2 linked regions of the Anolis sagrei genome follow. Each later gene encodes a partner of the first gene's protein in a complex. Links are inferred from orthologs where the notes say so. Each region holds a gene or a part of one and is shown on either strand. Other genes may lie near its edges.

Region 1 (3,753 bases):
GAAGAAAATGAAGAAAAACTTATCTGAAGGTAACATTATTTTTCTGTATAGCAGTCGTGGACAAACTTCAGCCTCCAGGTGTTTTGGACCTCAACTCCCACAACTGTGCAAGTTGGAAATCCAAAATACCTGGAGGACCAAGGTTTGCCCATGCCTGCTGTATAGGGTGCCCCAAAAGTCTCTAAACATGGAATATATATAAATGTTGAAAGGTGTGATTGGCCCCTTCCTTGTTGGCCTTTAATTTATAAATTAAAACCTTTTTGTGGAACCAAGCCTGTTCTGATGACTTAAAATAGACAACAACCAGATAGCTAGTGGTAATATAAATCTCTGAATGTTATTCAAACTTGGCAATGCTACTATATGGCCTGATGCAAACGGAGTTCCTAAGATTTTAGTACAACTCTTTTTATGGATAACCCCAGTGGCCTGAGGTTCAGTGAATTTTAATGGCATTTGTTGTAAGTTATTAATTAGTTATAAATGGTTTAAAGGTAAAGGTTTTCCCTGACATTACGTCTAGTCGTGTCCGACTCTGGGAGGTGGTGCTCATCTCCATTTCTAAGCCGAAGAGCCAGTGTTGTCCATAGACACCTCCAAGGTCATGTGGCTGGCATGACTGCATGGAGTACTGTTTCCTTCCCACAGAAGCGGTACCTATTGATCTACTCACATTTGTATGTTTTCAAACTGCTATGTTGACAGAAGCTGGGCCTAATAGTGGGAGCTTACCCTGCTCCCTGGATCTGAACAGCTGACCTTTCAGTCAGTTTGTTCAGCAGCTCAGAGATTTAACCGGCTGCACCACCAAGGGGCCCATTTGCATGGTTTATGTAGTGGCAATTTGTTTCTTTGGCTTGAGATTTTTAAAAAAATTGAATGTATTGTCGAAGGCTTTCATGGCTGGAATCACTAGGTTGCTGTGAGTTTTCTGGGCTGTATGGCCATGTTTCAGAAGCATTCTCTCCTGATGTTTTGCCTGGATCTATGGCAGGCATCCTCAGTTTGAATTTGTATGTTATGTAATGACTGCTGCTTATAACAACTGTATGCCACTTTGAATTCTATCCATGGGAGAAAAGTGGGATAACAATTAATAAAGTTGGAATGCATACTTTGTAAATAAAGGTTAATTCAACAATTGCCCATTCCCCCAATCAGTGTTTCTCAACCTGGGGGTCGGGACCCCGGGGGGGGGTCATGAGGGGGGGGTATCAGAGGGGTCACAAAGACCATCAGAAAACACAGGATTTTCTGTTGTTTGTGGGGGTTCTGTATGGGAAGTCTGGCCCAATTCTCTTGTTGGTGGGGTTCAGAGTGCTCTTTGATTGTAGGTGAACTAAAAATCCCAGCAACTACAACTCCCAATTGTCAAGGTCTACTTTTCCCAAACTCCACCAGTGTTCACATTTGGGCATATTGAGTATTTGTGCCAATTTTAGTCCAGATCTATCATTGTTTGAGTCCACAGTGCTCTCTGGATGCAGGTGAACTACAACTCCCAAGTGTCATTGTCTACTTTCCCCAAACTCTACCAGTGTTCACATTTATTTATTTATTTACTATATTTGTATACCGCTCTTCTCAGCCCTCAGGACAACTCAGAGCGGTTAACAAAGCAAATACAATACAAAAAACATGATAAAAACAGTTAAAAACAAGTTAAAAGAATAACATTATAACAATCAATAAACATCATTTGGGCATATTGAGTATTCATGCCAAGTTTGGTCCAGATCTATCACTGTTTGAGTTCACAGTGTTCTCTGGATGCAGGTGAACTACAACTCCAATACCCTTCCAGTACTTTCTGTTGGTTGTGGGAGTTCTGTGTGCCAAGTTTCGTTCAATTCCGTAGGTTAACTATAAATTCTAGCAACCCCCAAATGACAAAACCAACCCCCACCAACCCCACTAGTATTCAAATTTGAGTGTGTCGAATATTTGTGCCAAATTTGAAATGAAAATGAGATGAAAATCCATCCTGCATATCAGACACTCAACATTACGATTCCGAAACAGTCGCAAAATTAAGAGTTATGAAGTAGCAACGAAAATAATTTTATGGTTGGGGGGGAGGGGTCACGACAACATGAGGAACTGTATTAGGAAGGTTGAGAACCGCTGCCCTCAATGAAGTAGGGCGCTTTCAAGGACATTATGATTAAAACTAGCTGAGCGGAGGCGGTAGGAATTCTTTTGGCCGGTTGCTTGAGAGTCGCGCTTAAACGAGAGTCCGGCTCTCTGAGAACGAGAGAGAGAGAGCACGCGCGGGCGCGCGAGGGAGAGGCGGCTTTTGTGCCGAGGTTCTTCCCAGGCACCTGCAAGGCTCCCCGCCCCCTCCCGCGCGCCCCTTTCTTCCTCCTCCTCCTCCTCCTCCTCACCTGTCCCTGGGGTCGACCCAGCTGGTGCTCTTGGTGGCGTGGTCGATGTAGTAGACTTTGCCGTCGTAGTCGCGCGCTTCCTCCCAGCCCTCGGGCAAGGGCAGCCCCGGCCGCGGCATCCTAGGCGGAGGCGGCGGGGCGCAGCTCCCTCCCAGCCCCGAGGCGGCCGTGGCCCCATGCAAAGCCCCCTCAGCAGGCCCAGGAGGAGCAGGAGCAGGGGGAGGAGCAGCAACCACCCTTCTCCCAGCCCGGCAGCAGAAGCGGGGGGCGAGGGGCCGCGTCGGGAAGGCGGGAGTGGGCGCCTCGCATCCTCGGCAAGCAGGAGGAGGAGGGGGAGGGGCCAGGCTCCGGCGGGAACCCCGCAGGTGTCTCTCTCTCTCCACGAGCCCCTTCCTGCCAGTCCTCAGGCTGCGCTTCCCGCCGGCCTGCTCGCCCCTTCCTCCTCAGTCTGCCAAATGCCGCTGCTCCTCCAACTCCTCGGCTCCTTCCTCCTCCTCCTCCTCCTCCCCGCCTCCTCTGCCGGCGCTACTGTAATACAGGTAGTAGCAGAGCCGCCTCGGCGCAACTTTGTTTCCCAAAAAAGAAAAAAAAAGAAAGAAAGAAAACCTTCCAAAGTATGTGAGGGAGGCTGCTATTCCCGTCAAGACGGCCGCGGCGGTGCTGAGAGAGAAAGAGAGAGGGAGGGAGGGAGGCAAGCAAGCAAGCAAGCGCCGCCTCGCGCCAAAGCCCCAGAAGGAAGGAATGAGCAGCCTCGCGCCCGGGCCTCGCGGGCAGAGCAACCTGGAGGGAGGGAGAGGGGAGGGGAGGGGAGGAGGGAGAGGAAGAAGGAAAGGAGGCGGGCTTGGCCACCTCTGCTTGAGGAAGGTCCAGCCCCAGAAAGGAAAGGGAAGGTCCCCCCAGCAGGTGCAGCTCCCCCCTGGTCCGACCTGGTGTGGAGTTGGAGCAGGCATGGGGCCCACCCTCCAGGTGTTTGGGACTCCAACTCCCACCATTCCTAACAGCCTCAGGCCCCTTGGAAAAGAAAAGGGCCTTAGGCTGTTAGGAATGGTGGGAGTTGGAGTCCCAAACACCTGGAGGGTGGGCCCAACTTCGCCCATGCCTGAGTTGGAGGGCTGTTTCCTTGTGAACAACCTTACTGTTGCTTCTGCGTTCTGTGAAGTGATGGCATGTTAGTTATGTTGCATTGGGAGTTGCAGTTCGACAAGGTCTTGACCCATTTCTCCCCAAAAGAGCTAGAGCCTCCATGGTGTAGATCAGGGGGTCCTCAAACTTTTTAAACAGAGGGCCAGGTCACAGTCCCTCAAACTGTTGGGAGGGCCGGATTATAATTTGAAAAAAAAAACTTGCATGAATTCCTATGCACACT
Region 2 (3,753 bases), about 32 Mb from region 1:
CTACTTCAAAAAGAGCAGGGGAAACCCAAATTTCAGGAAAACAGGTTCCACCTGAACATTAGGTAGACCTTCCTGTCAGTAAGAGCTGTCTGACAATGGAAAGTGTGGGGGAGTCTCCTTCTCTGGAAGGTTTAAAGCAGAGGCTGGATAGCCATCTGTCAGGAGTGCCTTCATTGTGTGTTCCTGTATGGCAGAAGGGGGTTGAACAAGATGACCCTTGTGATCTCTTCCAACTCTATGAATCTATGAGTCTATTATTTCCTTCCCAATTAAGTGTCATGGCATGTTATAGTTTTAGGAATGGCTAAATCCTACAAGGACAGATGTGTTGATTTTGGTAATGTAGTACAGCAGTGTGAGGTGAACAATATACCAACTCTCACATATCTGTGGCACTTAGCAGTGCAGCAAGATACAAGGGCAATGGAGAAATCAATATTCCTGGCCAATTTTATTGGTTTATTCACTTTATGTATTGGATTTCCATACCATTCTTTACAATAATTCATCCCAAATTGAAAACAAAAATTTTTGAAATGAATAATAGAAGACTTTAAAACATGAATATATACACCACAGTGCAATCTCCTGTGTTTAATGCACAACTTTCTCAGCATAAAAAACACGACACAACTCATTCTAGTCTCCAAGAGGCCAGCCAGATACCCACAAAAGACAATAACATAGAAGCAGGAAGCATTTAAGAGGTAAAACGTGTGTACTTTTATTTATCTTAATGTATCAACAGGTATAAAGGGGTTTCATGGGCAGAGTGAAAGAAAGGAGGGCCCGGGTTGGGATGAGTACTGCCTTGTGCATGAAGAGATGTGTTGAAGCCATGTGCGTTGCTTCCATGTGTGAGAAAACAGAGAATGCAGGCTTTTCCTGTGTGATGTGCTGTGTCCTTGTGTAGCTGTTGCTGTGTTACGGTTCTTGCAGCAGCTTGTGGTGGCAGAGATGCTCTGTGAGTGTATGTGTGTGGTCTCTATGTACAGAACTGAGCGTTTAGCAATGCGAGAGCATCTCGGTGGGCGTAGCTGCTTGCCTGATGTGCCTTTGCACGTGTGTGCACAGCCACGTGTCTCTGTTTTTCTCCCTGTATGTTTCTTCGCTTTCTCTTCATTGGCTTTACTTGCAGCCACCTGCCCTCGAGCAATCTGCTTTACCAACCGACCCTCGCCCTGGGCTGCATGCTGCTGGGAGTCCTTATCCTTCTACCTATCTGCCTGCCATGTGTTGCGTGTGGGGGCTGTAATGCACCCCCAGCCTTTCTCTCGTGGTGCGACTGTGTTGGCACCGGCAACTGCCCGATGTCCCGGCAACGAGGAGGATGCTTGAACGTTTGAATCCAGGTGATTTCAGGTGCCTTCGGGTCTGCAAGAGAACAACCTGTTCCTTGTTGCATCTAACACAGTCTCTCGTTCCAGCCAGATCACCATGGAAGCAGGGGGGACATGGACCGGGAAAGGCTACGCCGCCCCATGGATGTACCACAGTGTGCCTGGGCAGTACACGTGAGTCCTATACTCTTTTGAAGGGGGTGCTGCTTGAACAGGAGGAGGCAAAACCCAACTCCCAGCACTGGAGAGGGCTCCATAGGTTGGGATCACATTGCTCCAGGGCTGCATCAAGTGAAAGGTCACCTCTGGGATGGCAGAGGAGGTGGGACTTGGTTTAAGATTTGAGGGGGTTTTAAACAGTGGGTTTCAAACAGATTGAATAGTAGTTCATTAACATGGCTCATAGTAGGTTTTCACTTCTTTAAAGCTCTGTATTATCCCAATCACCTGTACAAGAAACAGCTTGTATAGTGATATGTCCATAATATGGACTAGGATGCTGAGGCTAAAAGGTATGTCATAGTTGACCTCCAGTTTGAACTGGGTACTTGGCAGCTCATTGTATATGCTCTTAAATATGATACCCCTCTATTTTGGAGCCTCCAGTGGCGCAGCGGGTTCAACTGCTGAGCTGCAGAACTTGCTGACCAAAAGGTAAGCAGTTTGAATCTGGGGAGCGGGGTGAGCCCCTGCTGTTAGTCCCAGCTTCTGACAACCTAGCAGTTCGAAAACATGCAGATGTGAGTAGATCGATAGGTACTGCTTTAGCGGGAAGGTAACAGCGCTCCATGCAGTCATGCTGCCACATGACCTTGAAGGCATCTATGGACAATGCTGACTCTTTGGCTTAGAAATGGAGATGAGCACCAACTTCCAGAGTTAGACATGACTAGACATAATGTCAAGGGGAAACCTTTACCTTTAACTATTTTGGAGCTAGTATATTAGCTTGAACTGAGCTTGGGCCACGGTTTTAATTTCCAAAAAGATAAATGCTAAGGTTCAAATATGCTTGGAAGTCATAAATCTGTTTTTTTAAAAGCTCATGGGGCAAAGAGCAGCACAAGGTGGGCATGTAGACAGGCAGTCAGGTGGTATTTTGTACATACTCAGAGGCACTCTTTTTTTGCCAAGATACTGAATTTGAGGATCAGTCCAGTTCAAGGATCATACTCTGTTTAGATGTAAGAGACCCATTCAGGTTCAGATTGTTTGCTGAGCTCCGTTGCCTTTTATCTGTCAGCTGAACCTGTTCACTGGGGTTCAGCTCAGTGATGCAAGGACTGAAAACCGCTTTGTACTTATAGAATGTTCTGGAAAATAAAAAATAGAAATAATTCATTCAGAAGAATATTTCCTATATCCACCTAGCTGGAACTAAGTTGTTATTTTGCACTGCTTGCTCCTAATATGAATTTATTTGAAATACAAAACATCAAGATTTATTATGGGAATAAAAATTGGGTCTGTGTTAGATTATGACACAGAGGAAGCCTGTCCAAGTCTTGTCTGAAGGGGTGGGGGTTGCATAGTAGTTTTTAAAAAGCAGGTTTACAAAGTGCACTTCACACTAACAATAAAAATCTGAAAAGAAAGATTGCTTTTCTCTTTGCTTTCCCCCTTTGATCCATAGCTACAATTTATATGTGAACCTTTCTTGGTTCAATAATAAAATTGCCTGCCAATCCATCTGACAGATATGGCCAAAACAAGCCCATCTGAAACACAGATTCCCCATCCCCAGGTTCAAAATAATTCTGGATTTTTAAAAGGTTTCTGCAAAGGTTTCCCTAGGTTCATGTAGATATAAACCCCCATTCCATTTTTTTCTGTGTCAGGAGCAACTTGAGAAACTGCACCGGGAGCTCCAGAGCCAGATCAGAAGCTGACTGCATAAGCAATTGCACCCACCAGACCTGAGCCTCTGCAGCAGTTTAGGGTACCATAAGGGCAGTATATACAGCACTGCCCTTCATACTACACAGAAATAGTGCTCTGATTCCAATTTATTTCTTATGGCAATATCCCGTCGGATCTTGGGGTCTGTAGTTTATTGGGAGAGCTCTTTGGAATCCAGAAGGGAGCTCTTCTGGTGCTTCTGACCAAGCTACAAACTCCAAACAGAATCATTGTCCTATAATTGTATAGTACTTTTACTTACTTACTTACTTACTTACTTAGGCGATCCCTTGTTTTCCGAGGATGATTGTCTTCCAACATTCTTGTGGGTCTGTATGTGGCTGTGGAGCCCTATTCTTGCTCTGCATCTTCTTCCGCAGTGAGGGCATTGGTTTCCAGGTGGGAGGTGGTTCCGGTCGGGGTTAGCTTGATGCGCCTTCCTCTTGGCACGCTTCTCCCTTTCGCCCTCCATTCGTGCCTCCTCAAATTCTGCAGCACTGCTGGTCACAGCTGA

Evidence for each region.
Region 2: the proteins of WWC1 (region 1) and DDN are in contact, whole or in part, in a crystal structure (PDB 6J69), measured with the Mus musculus proteins. The link is inferred for Anolis sagrei from reciprocal best matches to the Homo sapiens genes WWC1 and DDN. Residues at the interface, in NP_740749.1 of Mus musculus: Glu13, Glu14, Ala15, Arg16, Asp17, Tyr23, Ile25, Asp26, His27, Arg30, Thr31, Thr32, Ser33, Trp34; in NP_001013763.1 of Mus musculus: Tyr227, Val228, Ala229, Pro230, Pro231, Ser232, Tyr233, His237, Arg238, Thr239.

Annotation. Positions count from the first base shown.
Region 1 is NC_090022.1:105,773,847-105,777,599, forward strand, and holds the start of WWC1 (protein KIBRA), read right to left. Parts: upstream 2,752-3,753; 5' UTR 2,507-2,751; coding exon 2,388-2,506; intron 1-2,387. UniProt on the Homo sapiens protein: Regulator of the Hippo signaling pathway, also known as the Salvador-Warts-Hippo (SWH) pathway.
Region 2 is NC_090022.1:138,067,046-138,070,798, reverse strand, and holds the start of DDN (dendrin), read left to right. Parts: upstream 1-993; 5' UTR 994-1,352; exon of another isoform or gene 1,353-1,431; 5' UTR 1,432-1,437; coding exon 1,438-1,514; intron 1,515-3,753. UniProt on the Homo sapiens protein: Promotes apoptosis of kidney glomerular podocytes. Podocytes are highly specialized cells essential to the ultrafiltration of blood, resulting in the extraction of urine and the retention of protein.